Rattus norvegicus: one gene and its partners. The protein of the gene in region 3 purifies or fractionates together with the protein of the main gene of each other region. This does not show direct contact. Links are inferred from orthologs where the notes say so. Each region holds a gene or a part of one and is shown on either strand. Other genes may lie near its edges. The genes, in order: Nxf1, Bicd2 and Ranbp2.

Region 1 (3,839 bases), on a different chromosome or scaffold from region 3:
GTTTGCAGAGTGGGGGTGCAAGGCATTCAGAGACTGTTACACCACACCCATACCGGGTGTCCCACCTACTTTTTTGGAAACCCCTTTTTGCTGAGTGAGCGTTGTGCACACAGCCCCACAGCAATGTGCTTACCCATCATGCCGCAACCAACAGCTAACCCGTATCGCCAGAGTGCGGAGCGCAGGTCCAGGGAGCCCCGGTTGGGAGCCTCCGCGGGTACTCGAATCAGAGGTTTGGGCAAGGCTGCAACAGCCAGGGAAGTCCAGAAGATGCTCTGACCCGCACAAAACAGTCCAAGGATGGCAAAGAAGCGGCTACGTTCGTGCTCGAAAAGCAGCACATCCCGTGGGACTCCGCTTTGCAAAGACCGGTGCACATTTCCGGACCGCAGCATAGACAAAAGCTGGCTAACCGACCGTGGCAGCAGAGTCGCCGCCATGGCGGAGCACTTCCGTCTCCGGGGCGGGACTTCCTATAACGACGCACCTTCCCACCCCTCCCACATTGAGGGAAACAAGCCAGTAATGGGACACACACTACAATATCACTCTTTATCTTAAAAAGTAAAGGGAATCCTGGGGTTAAGTACACAGAGCACCTAAGTCCTTCGGTAATTTAGTGTCAGCTCTACAAAGTAAGCTTTGGCTTCCTGGCACCATGAGGCTCAATCTTCCGGAAGTCTTCTCTAAGTCTTCCAGAAGGTAGGTGAGGAGGATGAAGCAGCCCTTCCTCCCCAGTCACAGTTACAGGGTGGCCTCGGGCTGGACAGGAGTCCGCAGATGACAGCCAGACAATATTATCCAAGGGCTATTTACAAGGGGACTTTTCTTGAGATCATTTCATAAACGCTACTTCTGGAATCTCTCCCTTGGCCTGCAGAAAGATAAAATATAAGTAGAGCCAGGTGACCTCTCTCCCACCTTCCCTGCTCAGCTCCTGTGACTCACCGGCTGTCCTGGCACTCTCTATGTAGACCAGGCTAGCCTCAAACCCAGAGATCTGCCTCCCAAATGCCGATTAAAGGCAACCATCACCACGCCCAGCCTTCATCTGACCCTTTTTAAAGGCGCAGAGATCCGTTTTTAACCACAAAATTCCTATACTTTACCTTGAGATGAGTGAAGGCCTGGGCAGATCTGGTGTAGTCCCAGTTATTGTCTTGAAGGCACCTGCAGTATGATTAAAATAGGAAGCCACATGAGAACCAAAATGCAGTCAGTCACTGACCACTGAATGTCACCCCAGAATCCAACCCGTGGAGAACGTCACCAATGTTTTCATTAAGTTCACACACCATCGCACCACTTGTACAAATGTTAAATGGTCAAAATGTCTACCATAAATGACCAATGTAGTTTACACTGGTAGGGAAAGAGCTATACAGTTTAAAAACTACATTCCAGCTGGGCAAGGCAGCTCAGGCCTTCAATCCTATCACTGGAGAGGCTGAAGCAGCTGGGGAACTCGGTGAGGCTGAGGCAAACCTGGGCTACACAGTGGCTTCCAAGCAGCCAAGGCACAAAGTGAGACCCTGTCTCAAAACAAAAGGTGCAGAACCATACATAAAGACTCGGAACTAGGCATGTGCTGTACCTACAGCCCTAGCTCCCTGGAGTGCTGAGGCCCACTGGAATTTAGGACTGGGTAAAGAGTTGAAGCCCAGGTTTAGTGAACTTAGTGAGTTCCTGTTTAAAAATGGACAACAAAACAAACAATAAATAAATAAAAACTTGGCTCATGCCTTTAATCACAACACTTTGGAGGGAGAAGCAAGCAGAGCTCTGTGCATAGTGAGACCCTGTTTCAAAACAACCACCTGAAAAGAGCTTGGTGGTAGAGTGACTACTGCATTTGTGAAGTCAGCTTTAATCTGTAATTCTGCTTGGGGAAGAGGGAGGCCATAGGTAGCTGGGAGGGGGACAGAAAACGAATTCTTCATTTGCGCTTTAAATTTTAAAAAATAATTTATGCAGAATTCTTAGTAGGAATCTTTTTATTAAAGCACTCTAATTCACTGTCAGGCTATCTGTTTCCCCTTGGTCCTATCCATGCTCAACACTCACTTCTGAGACCACTCGAGGTTCATGCCAGACTGGGTAGAAAATGCTTGTAACATATCCTGCTGTTCTTGGGAGAGTGTGGGTACTGGGCTGGAAGAAGGTGTGGGTGCAGGCATGGCGAAGGCTCTTTGGATTTCTTCAGGGCTGGCGTTCCGCACAAATAATTCGTCATTTACAATACATAGCCTTGGGGACAAAAAAAATCTTAAATAAACGGACAAATGACCTCATCTTTCTACACTGTCTTTGTTCTCAGATCTGGTTAACATCCACATGCCCCTCCCTCCCATGTTCCCTTTCATTCCCTAACACACCAAGAGTTGCTATTCACTTCATAAACTTCTATTGCTTTTCTGCAATTCTGAAAACTACCTAAGGAATATCTCTACCTTCCAGCTATCACACTGCTACCCTGGGACTGAAAATAATACCCAAACTGATAAGCTGAGTACTTACCCTGAATTGCTGGCAGGAACAGCAATGAACGTTCTCGTGAAAGCACGTAAAGAATCTCGAGACTTCCCGTCCACTGCAATGAGAGAAGTGTGGCAATGGCTCCTTAAGCCATTCAGGCTTGATCTTACAATTATCACTCACACCACGGTGTCTGACACAGAGACTCCTAACTTGGTCAGGTAAGGAGGGTTATTTGGTCATAAGGAAACAGAGGTGGGATAAAGGGACAGATCAGATAATAACAGAATTTGCTGTGTGCTATAGGAAGTAAAACAATTTAAAAGTGTTAGCCTAGCTTGGCAAAGTGCCTGAAATCATTCCTGAAGTACCACTGTGCAAAAGTATTATGAAATCATCTAACAAAACAGAAAAAAGAACAAGATTCAAAGGTATTGCAACTTTCCCAGACCCACAGCATTAACACAGGGACAGAAATGGAGACCTGGGCTGGGGAGATGGCTCAGCAGTTAAGAGCACTGACTACTCTTCCAGAGGTTCTGAGTTCAATTCCCAGCAACCACATGGTGGCTATCGACTATAATGGGATCTGATGCCCTCTGAAGACAGCTACAGTGTACTCATATACATAAAATAAATAATTCTTTAAAAAAAAAAAAAAAGAAATGGAGACCTGCCTGACTCTTACGCTTACACTGTTTGGGTCCCCAGGTTTTTGTCATACTGCAGGTAAGACAGGTGGAAGAGTTTTAAGGCCAAACCAAGATGTACTGGGCAAAATAGGACAGAGGTCGGAGAAGAAAAGGGATGAGAAGTCAGCTAGGAAACTAAAGATACTGAGAAAGGTTCAGAACTCAAAATTCTTACCTTCCTTGAAGACTCCATTGACAGAAAAACACAACAATGTGCTCTGAAAGAGAAAAAGCACCCGAAGTAATGGAGGTTCCCAACCCGGAGCCTGAGCCTCCTTACCCAGTGAATGCTGAACTCATGACCCCACTTCTGAGCTTCATTAGGAAAACATATGTACTTACTGTTTGGGCACTTATATCTACCACAAAGGAGTTAACGTCATGGTGAGTTTTAGGTAACTCATTGAGGAAGGCAACGACATTAAGACGTGTATGCTTTAATAGCCGGAACCGCGTGGCTACAAGCAGAAGGAAGGGAAACCACGGTTAGGGCACATCCACACTGGCTAGCTCTACTGATTCCCATTTTGACTGCACACACAATAAACTTACTGGTATCTTTAATCTTCTTCACATTTCTGCTGTCATTGAAGTATTTGGCTAAGTTGTGTCTGGAAAATAAGAGGGAATGATGGTGGTGGTCAGATCAGTGGCCTGTATCTCCCAAATAAT
Region 2 (4,427 bases), on a different chromosome or scaffold from region 3:
GGCCATGGTTGTAAGCAAGACATAGCCATTCTCCCAGAAATAAAGACAGCGGGGTCAACGCTCAGTTGGCTCACCAGCACAAGCTCTCCTGGGATCTGGTTGTAAACCCTTTCACCCAGGTCAGACGGCTTCCTCACCTCAAAGGCTTGCATGACTAAACTCGGGCAAGCACACAAGCAACTCGACGACAGCATAACTTAACTTGTTAGTAACTAAATCTACCACATTTAAAGGAGCAAACAACTTAAGACAGTTCACCTCTCTATGGGGAGAAAACTTCCTATATACGCTGTCTCCTTAAATCTTCATTTTTTTTTTTAAAGTAGAAGTTAGTATTTCAAATACAATACTGACCAAGATTAAAGAGTTTGACCAGAGCCTGCTTTGGCATGGGTGTGAGGAACAATCTGCTGACAAGAGGCAGATTGGCACAAACTTTTGGCAACACTCTCTGAAGCTGATGCATTCCTCTGGACTCCACCAGAAACTTCTGGAAGAAACCTTATCCCACCTCACAAATGGGAGAGGAGCAGCCTGTCCAAGCCTATACAGTGTGGGACTGGCATTAGACTAAGCAGATACCTAAAGGGCACCTAGAGAATAGATCGCACCCTCTTCCTCATCTTCTCAGAGGTTTCCCTCCAGATACAGAGAAGGCCACATGTATGCCACCATTGTTCTTCACTGAGTCATAAAATGATTCTGCCCATAAAACAATTGCAGGAGGCTGACCAACAGAAGTCACCCAAGTGAGGACCGACTAGATCACCAACAGCCAGTTTTCACAGCACATGCCCCTGAAAGAAACCTGCTAATTCAGAGGAGGAGAGTGGGCTTCCCAGGAGAGGTTCACAGGCATTCCACAGGAAGTGGGAAGGCAACCCATATGTATGTGCAGTGGGAGTGGTACTGTAATTAAAGGGTGCAGCTACCTGCCTGGAGCACTAAGGAGGGGGGAAGGGAAGCCCCAGACAGAAGACTAGATTTGGGAAGAGGATACACCCACTCCATATTTTCACAGTCCTGACCTTCATCTATCACCTTGACTGTCCCCTCCCCCTCCAGGGGGGGCTGCCCATCCCCCTCCTTTTGTCAACCCACTGCGGATGGAGCCAGGCTTGGGAAAGTAACTGATGTCCTCTGACAGACAACAGACTTGAGATTCTGTGGGAAGACTCAATTCCTACCTTCCCACAGAAGCAGCCACTTCTGGGACTCACCCAGCCCTGTTCTACCCAGACTTTAGGGATTCATTCCCCCCCAGAAAAGAAGAGAGGCTCTAAAGAGTTCAGGCACCCACCCAAAGCTGGCTGGGAGCAGAAGTATCCAAAGATGAGCCTGTGATTTTAACACCCGAGAGCAGAACTGAGTCTGACAGGGAAGGGAAACCATTTAGATAATCCAAAAAGCTACCTGTGTGGCCCACATCAGGCCTTTCTAAATGCAGAGCACTCAGAGCAATACTTGTGGGTTGGCAAAGCTGTATTCCTACTTTGCAGAGCTGGAAGCTAAGGTTTGAGGAGAGCTTGCCCATGGCTCACCCATAGCTCACCCATAAGCAATAAGGGGGGGTTGGTCCAAACTCAAGTGTGTCCCTCTTCCAGAAAGCATTTCCCCGACAGTCTCCAGAACACGGCTGGGGAGTCAAGACGGATGGGAGAGTCACTAACACTTAAATCATCCCAGAAAGCTTACCCAGGTCCCTCCTACTGCATCCCCCCCCCCCTCAAGCTCTTAGCCAGCCTGGGGGGTCCAACCTCTCTCCCTACAGTGGGATGACACAAAGCACCAGGTTCCGACAGAAGGAACGCAGACTCCAGGGCGACAGGCAGGGCCTAGGAGACCGAGCAAGACAGGAAGCGGTCGATGGAAGCCATGCTTCCCAGTAGTGGGTGCACCATTAATGAGATTGGGGGGGGGGGGGGGGAAGCAGCTGACTGAGCCAGAGCTAAGTCACACTGATGCGATGGATACTGGGAAAGCCGGCCTGTCAAGGGTCATGGGCAATCAGGAGCTGCGACTCACTGTATCCATCCCTTCCCAGCCTCAGGCAGTCATGAAACCAGATGAACAGCACAGAAAGCAGCTGCTCCAAAAAGGGGGGCAGTGATTTGCTTGAAGATGACAGACTGTGGTCAACCAGCCCCAGGCTCAGCCTTACCAAGGGGGTCACTTTCACGGACAGCCTCAGCTGTAAGGGCATCGTCTGCTCCCCCGCCGCCTACACAGACACACCCAAGGCAGCAATAACCATAGCAGGACATCAGTCCTCAACGAAAGGACTATTAAGGCCTGCAGAGAAAACTAGCGGGTACGTGGAGCTGCAGGGAGCCTAGACCCCAGCAGCAGGGCACGGGGCCGAGCATGGTCACTCTCCGTCACTGCCTTGGACCACAACTCTAGGTCTTCTGCCCCACCCCTGGTACCTCCCACCACTGGGCAGGATGACCTCAGAGCCCCAGGCAGGGGTCGCAGCCGGCCACTACCTCTTTGAGCTGCTCCATCTCGCTGCGGATGGCCTCATAGTCCACCTCGAGCTCCTCGAACTGCAGCTTGAGCTGGTGCTTCTCCTCAAGCACCGCCAGTCCATACTCGGCCGCCTGGATCTTCTCACGCGTGGTTTCGGCCAGCTCGTGGGACAGTCGCTTCACCTCGGCGCGCAGCCACTCCGGCTGCGCCTCCATCACCAGACGCGCATACTCCTCCTCCTCCGACGGCGCGGACATGGTGGCCGCGCGCCGAGGCCCGCTCCCACCTTGGCTCCCACAAGCCGGGCCCTCTTAGCCGCCGCCGCCGCCGCCCAGCCCCGACGGCCGCCCGCGCCGCCGCACTGCTCCTCCCTGACGCGCGGGGAACACTGGGGGCTGCAGTCCCACTGAGCATGGACTACATAACCCGCAGTCCCTTGCGCCCACCTGGTCTGAGGCTGTGATTGGTCTAAATCTCAAGGGGGCATGAGCCTAAAGAGACGCAAAGCTACGTCTCCCTTAGCATTGTGGGAGATGTAGTCCTACTGTGCGCTCACTGCTTGGCCTGTTGTGTGCCGCGCCTGCCTGGCTTCAATCGGTGATTGGCCGGCGCCGCTGACGTGACAGCAGTAAGGGTGCCACCGACCCCAGCCCAAGGACCCCGCAGCCACCCGGAGAACCTCCAGCCTTGTGCTCCTATCCTTTCTAGAGTAAGGCGATCTGAGCTGTGGAGACTACGAATAAGATTCGCGTCCTACAACGTCAGAGCCTGGTTGGTGAGACTGTGTGGCGCGCGCTCTATGCGGGATTTGAATGACTTGTGGCGGGCCGCGGGCACTGCCAAAAGGATGCCAACAACCTGACGCTAGGGGCTCAGCGGAGCCCAAACCCGGATACTACTTCCTTCCTCTTGTCCCTTTGTCCGTTAGGATATTCTTTCATAGAAATGAAAGCACCTCCGTGAGCATAATGTCATAGGTGTGTTTAAATGTTGTCTGTCCCCGATTTTCGGCGGGACATGGCTGTACTCTTCACTGTATGTCTAAATAAAAGTTCCCTCCTCGCATGGTGATTTGGATATAACAAGCTTATTCCTCTTCTCACTGCACACCCTCCGCCCCCGCAACACCACACCCTACAGCTGCGGACCACCATAAAACATAGAGGTCAGCTGGAGAGAAGGCTCAGAGGATAAAGCTCTTGCTCAGCAAGAGCAAGGACCTATATTTGCACCCCCAGAGCCCACATAAAGCACAGTCTATAATCCCAATGTTCCCAAGGCAAGATGGGAGGTGGAGATTGGAGAATCCCCTGAAGTTAGACTAGTGCATGAAGTTGGGGGTGGGGGTGGGGAACTAAGATAACCGGCCTCAAACAAGATGCAAGACAAAGACTGACAACTAGATCTGGCCCTCTGATTCCCAGTGCACGTGGGGCCTGTGTGTACCCACAGGAATATGAACCCACTTCACCATACACACACACGCACACACACGATTAAAAGAAAATCTAGGGCCAACACAAGAATTGTGTAGTAAATAAACTTTGTGTGGTGGAGCACACCTTTAATCCCACCACTTGGGAGACAAAGGTAGAAGGATTTCAAGGCCAGCCTGATCTATATATGAAGTTCCAAGCCAGCCAGGACTAAATAGAGAGACCCTGTCTCAAAAACAAGAGAGAGTTGTATAAATACACGTGTTGTTACCTTTTCTCTTGAGCCAACCAGCTTAATTTGCTAGGAGAGTCCTGGCTCTACACTGAGGCCCATATATCAGGCCCACAAAGCTCTTCACACTAAGTGAGGGAGGATGTTTTGGAACAAACCTTGCTCCAACAAGGACAGAGCTCTTCAGTACCTGCACCTATCCTGGCTGCCTGGGAACCTCTCCACCCTGACCTGAACCTATGAGGCAGGTGTGAGTAGGGAGGGAGAGAGCCATGAGTTTCTACTGAGAA
Region 3 (3,645 bases):
TATCAATGTATCTGGGTATAAAATGACAGTGGATTTTTAAAACAGCTTCAAATTTTTGAAAACAGCATCCAACCAAATTATAACAAATGAGATCAGAAAAAAACCTAATGTATTTGCTTTCTTGATCTACAAATGCTGCATTTGGAGTGGTGGCTCGCATATACAGTCCCAGTAGGAGGGAAAGTAAGGCAAGAAAAGGGTCATAAATTTCAAGCTTTCCATTACTATAAACAATGTCTCAAACACAAAACAAATAAATACAAGTGTTTCAAATATTTCCTTACCTCAATTTTAACTTAAAAATAATCTCCACTCATCTACCTACTCCTCTGCCTAGACACTGCATATCCACGAATAAAAAACTAGAAGAAATGATGGCCCCTAGCTCTAAATCTGATATACGATATAATCCTAACTGTTAATGGTAAAAGAACTAGGGAGACTGGGGAGATGACCCTCTGTAAAGCACCTGCTAAACTAGCACAAAGATCTGCATTCAGACTTCAGTGCCCACATAAGAGCTTGCTGGTGTGTGCCAAAAACCATAGCATTACAAGGTGGAGAGAGAGAATTCCCCAGAGCTCACTGGTCAGTCAATCTAGCCAACTGGTGAACTGCACATTCAATGAGAATAAAACAAGGTGGAAATTAATAGAAGACAACCAAGGTCTTCTATTAATTAACATCTGTGGCCTCCACATGTATCTACCTGCACATACACATTAAAAAGTATATAATAACAACTGGTTTCATCAATTCTAAAGCTTTACAAAATACTAAAGTAAGAAATCAAATTTTCCAAGAACAATAACTAGACTCGAGTTCTGGTAGCAACCAGTTTTCCAGGCTCACAGACAAAGTTCCCATTACATTTCCACAGAATAATGCTGAACAACTGAAACTTGTACACTGAAAGGAACTCTAATGTGTTACATGGCTTATGTAACAAAAAATGTATTTGTACAAATTCAAAATTTTGTTATTTAACCAGTTTTCAAAGCTGAGCAAATCAACAAAGCTGTTGATTATACATACCATAATAATCACCACATAGCAAAATGTACTTAGTGTAACATTAGGTGTAGGAATAATTTAGTTCTTAGCCAAAAGGCATGAAAAAAGATTTGTGTAATTCTAAAATAAGAAACCAGTAAATACTACACTATAATTAAGCCACTCATATAAAAAGCATCTAAACAAGAAAAAAAAATTCAACTCAACTGTTCAATGCCCAGTGATAAATTTGACACACTTTAATAACATACATGCTGACAAATTAACACAAAATGGTAACGATAGTACATACAAGTTACTCATGGAGAGATAACAGGAATCAAATTATGTTTTTAGGAAAAAGGTTTTATCTTAAAAAACTCTTATCTCATGTGGCGATAGACTTCTAAGTAACTTAGAAAATATAGTTAAGAGTCAAAAGAAATTGATTCTATAAACTATACTAAAGAGCACATGTTGATCAACTAAGAAAGTAAAAAATAATCCAGAGGGGGGGAGGGGGGGGAGGGGAAAGGGATGGGGAGGGGAGAAGGAGAAGGGAAGGGGAAAGGAGGGAAGGGGGAGGGAGAACCCAAGCAAGCTTGAAGCCAAGTGTGGTGGTGAAGGCCTTTAATCCCAGCACTCCAGAGGCAGAGGCCAGCCGTCAACAGACTGAATTCCAGGGCAGACAGGGTTACATACTGTCTCAAACTGATTAGAGAAAAAAAATCTTAGCATAAGAGTTACATTGAGCCAAACTAAATGTTACCTTAATGGCCTCTACTTGCTGGCAGATCATTTTCAATAAAGAATTTTGATCTTCTGCCCATCGAGGTGGTGTTTTTGGCGAATACTAAATATACAAACATACACACAAATATATTAACAGTGTTTACAATGTGTAGAAAACAACGTCATTGTACAATGATTCATTTCTTTCCTACTTGCCTTGTAACTTTTACTTGGTGATAGAGAATATTTGGTAGGAGATGGTGTTGAATGCTTTAACTCTGAATCAGCACTTCGAAAGCAACCATTTTTATAAAGAGTACCTCCTTCACTGTAGTCTTCAAGTTCCTGCATAACTGAGTTCAGCATCTCTTTTACAGACTCAAGGGGGACAGGCAACTGAAAAAAAAAATCCATTAGTTTACAAAAAAATGTTAAAATGCCTTAGAAATAAAGAATCAGTTTTATTAAGCTGTTCATATTTTTCTTATTTTGAGTCAGAATCTCACTTTGTAGCCTAGGGTTCCCTTGACTTCTCAGTCCTGACTCAGTCTTCCAAGTGTGAATACTACATGTGTGTACCACAGCCCATTTTAACAAGCATCTTATTACATGTTAAATTATACATATAAAAGTATTGCAGAATCTAAAGTCTAAGTTGTTACTATTTTATCTGTAAGTCATAGTAAAAAGGAAAGTGAACTTAGGAAAGAAGTTTTTCCGTATAGAAGTTATACATTCTTCTAAGATACTTTGAACAGAGTGAAATACAGATGCTGAAATACACCGGACAATATAAATCCTAAGCTAAGATCAGCAATACATGTTAATTAATAAAAAAAACTTAGAAGGAAGAAAACCACTATGAGTGTGAAACTGCCGATTTTTTTTCCCCCGGAGCTGGGGACCGAACCCAGGGTCTTGCTCTATCACTGAGCTAAATCCCCAACCCCGAAACTGTCGAATTTTTGTTGTTGTTTCAAGATATACCAAACCTAAGATAAAAGAAAACTAAGCATTCATGCACATGCCCTGATCATCTATCATAAGGGAAACTTAGAGACTTAAGAAAGGACAAAATACAAAACCTGGGCAATTATCAACAATACTAAATGTCAGACAAACCAGCAACTTACTTTCTGAACCACGGAAATATTTGAATCACTATCATCTAAAATCTTTATCAGGTAGTCCCTAGTCTTTCTCAGATAATTTTTGCACTCTTCTTGTTCTTCAGGAGACAAGGCATCATTTTCAATATCTTCTGCTTTCCTGTGAAAAATCTACACAAAATACAATTAACATTTTCAAAGCAAGCAAACAAACAAAACTCAATTCAATTGTCACATCACTTACCAGTGCAAGATTCCAATAAGAAACTACATTTTTAATAGATTCAAAAGCAGTCATGGCATCTTCTATGTTTCCGTTAACAGCATCCAATATAGCAAAAGTTATGTGTGCATCTTCTTCATATTCGCCAATTTCAGATACCTAAATACATTTATTTAGTAACTGTTAGTTAAATTGCTTGAACCCCAAATTTCCAAAGATTTATTTTATCTGAAGAAAATTAACAGTTCATTAGTCAAAATTTTTGTCAGCTACAAGATTGAGAAAGCAATGCTACCATAAAATAGCAGTACACTTTGCTTAGTTATTGTCTGTATATGATAAGTTACACATGCGTCAGTTCATTAGCTCATTCTTACCTGAATATCCACACTATGGAAATGTTTAAACAGAGGATCAATAGGTTCAGGAATACTATTCTTCTTTCTGATCATCTTCAACAATGGTAAGACTTTCCTCCAATAATGAACACTTCTGCCTATGTATTCCCGTTGATCATAAAAAGAATTAAGACTGCTGCCCTAAAATAGAAAGTCAGAAGCTATAACATTATAAATGATTTAGACACAC

What was found.
Region 1: the proteins of Ranbp2 (region 3) and Nxf1 purify together in Homo sapiens (co-immunoprecipitation; 5 studies listed by BioGRID and IntAct, with this or other methods). This does not show direct contact. The link is inferred for Rattus norvegicus from reciprocal best matches to the Homo sapiens genes RANBP2 and NXF1.
Region 2: the proteins of Ranbp2 (region 3) and Bicd2 purify together in Homo sapiens (affinity purification with western blotting; 3 studies listed by BioGRID and IntAct, with this or other methods). This does not show direct contact. The link is inferred for Rattus norvegicus from reciprocal best matches to the Homo sapiens genes RANBP2 and BICD2.

What each region holds. Positions count from the first base shown.
Region 1 is NC_086019.1:215,094,444-215,098,282, reverse strand, and holds the end of Nxf1 (nuclear RNA export factor 1), read right to left. Parts: intron 3,779-3,839; coding exon 3,720-3,778; intron 3,626-3,719; coding exon 3,510-3,625; intron 3,386-3,509; coding exon 3,343-3,385; intron 2,591-3,342; coding exon 2,518-2,590; intron 2,248-2,517; coding exon 2,065-2,247; intron 1,171-2,064; coding exon 1,110-1,170; intron 875-1,109; coding exon 836-874; 3' UTR 527-835; downstream 1-526. Other genes in the region: Tmem223 (transmembrane protein 223), read right to left, coding at 134-440.
Region 2 is NC_086035.1:15,508,490-15,512,916, forward strand, and holds the start of Bicd2 (protein bicaudal D homolog 2), read right to left. Parts: upstream 2,817-4,427; 5' UTR 2,727-2,816; coding exon 2,487-2,726; intron 1-2,486. UniProt on the Homo sapiens protein: Acts as an adapter protein linking the dynein motor complex to various cargos and converts dynein from a non-processive to a highly processive motor in the presence of dynactin.
Region 3 is NC_086038.1:27,005,748-27,009,392, reverse strand, and holds part of Ranbp2 (E3 SUMO-protein ligase RanBP2), read right to left. Parts: intron 3,597-3,645; coding exon 3,435-3,596; intron 3,217-3,434; coding exon 3,079-3,216; intron 3,006-3,078; coding exon 2,859-3,005; intron 2,122-2,858; coding exon 1,942-2,121; intron 1,847-1,941; coding exon 1,763-1,846; intron 1-1,762. UniProt on the Homo sapiens protein: E3 SUMO-protein ligase which facilitates SUMO1 and SUMO2 conjugation by UBE2I. Involved in transport factor (Ran-GTP, karyopherin)-mediated protein import via the F-G repeat-containing domain which acts as a docking site for substrates.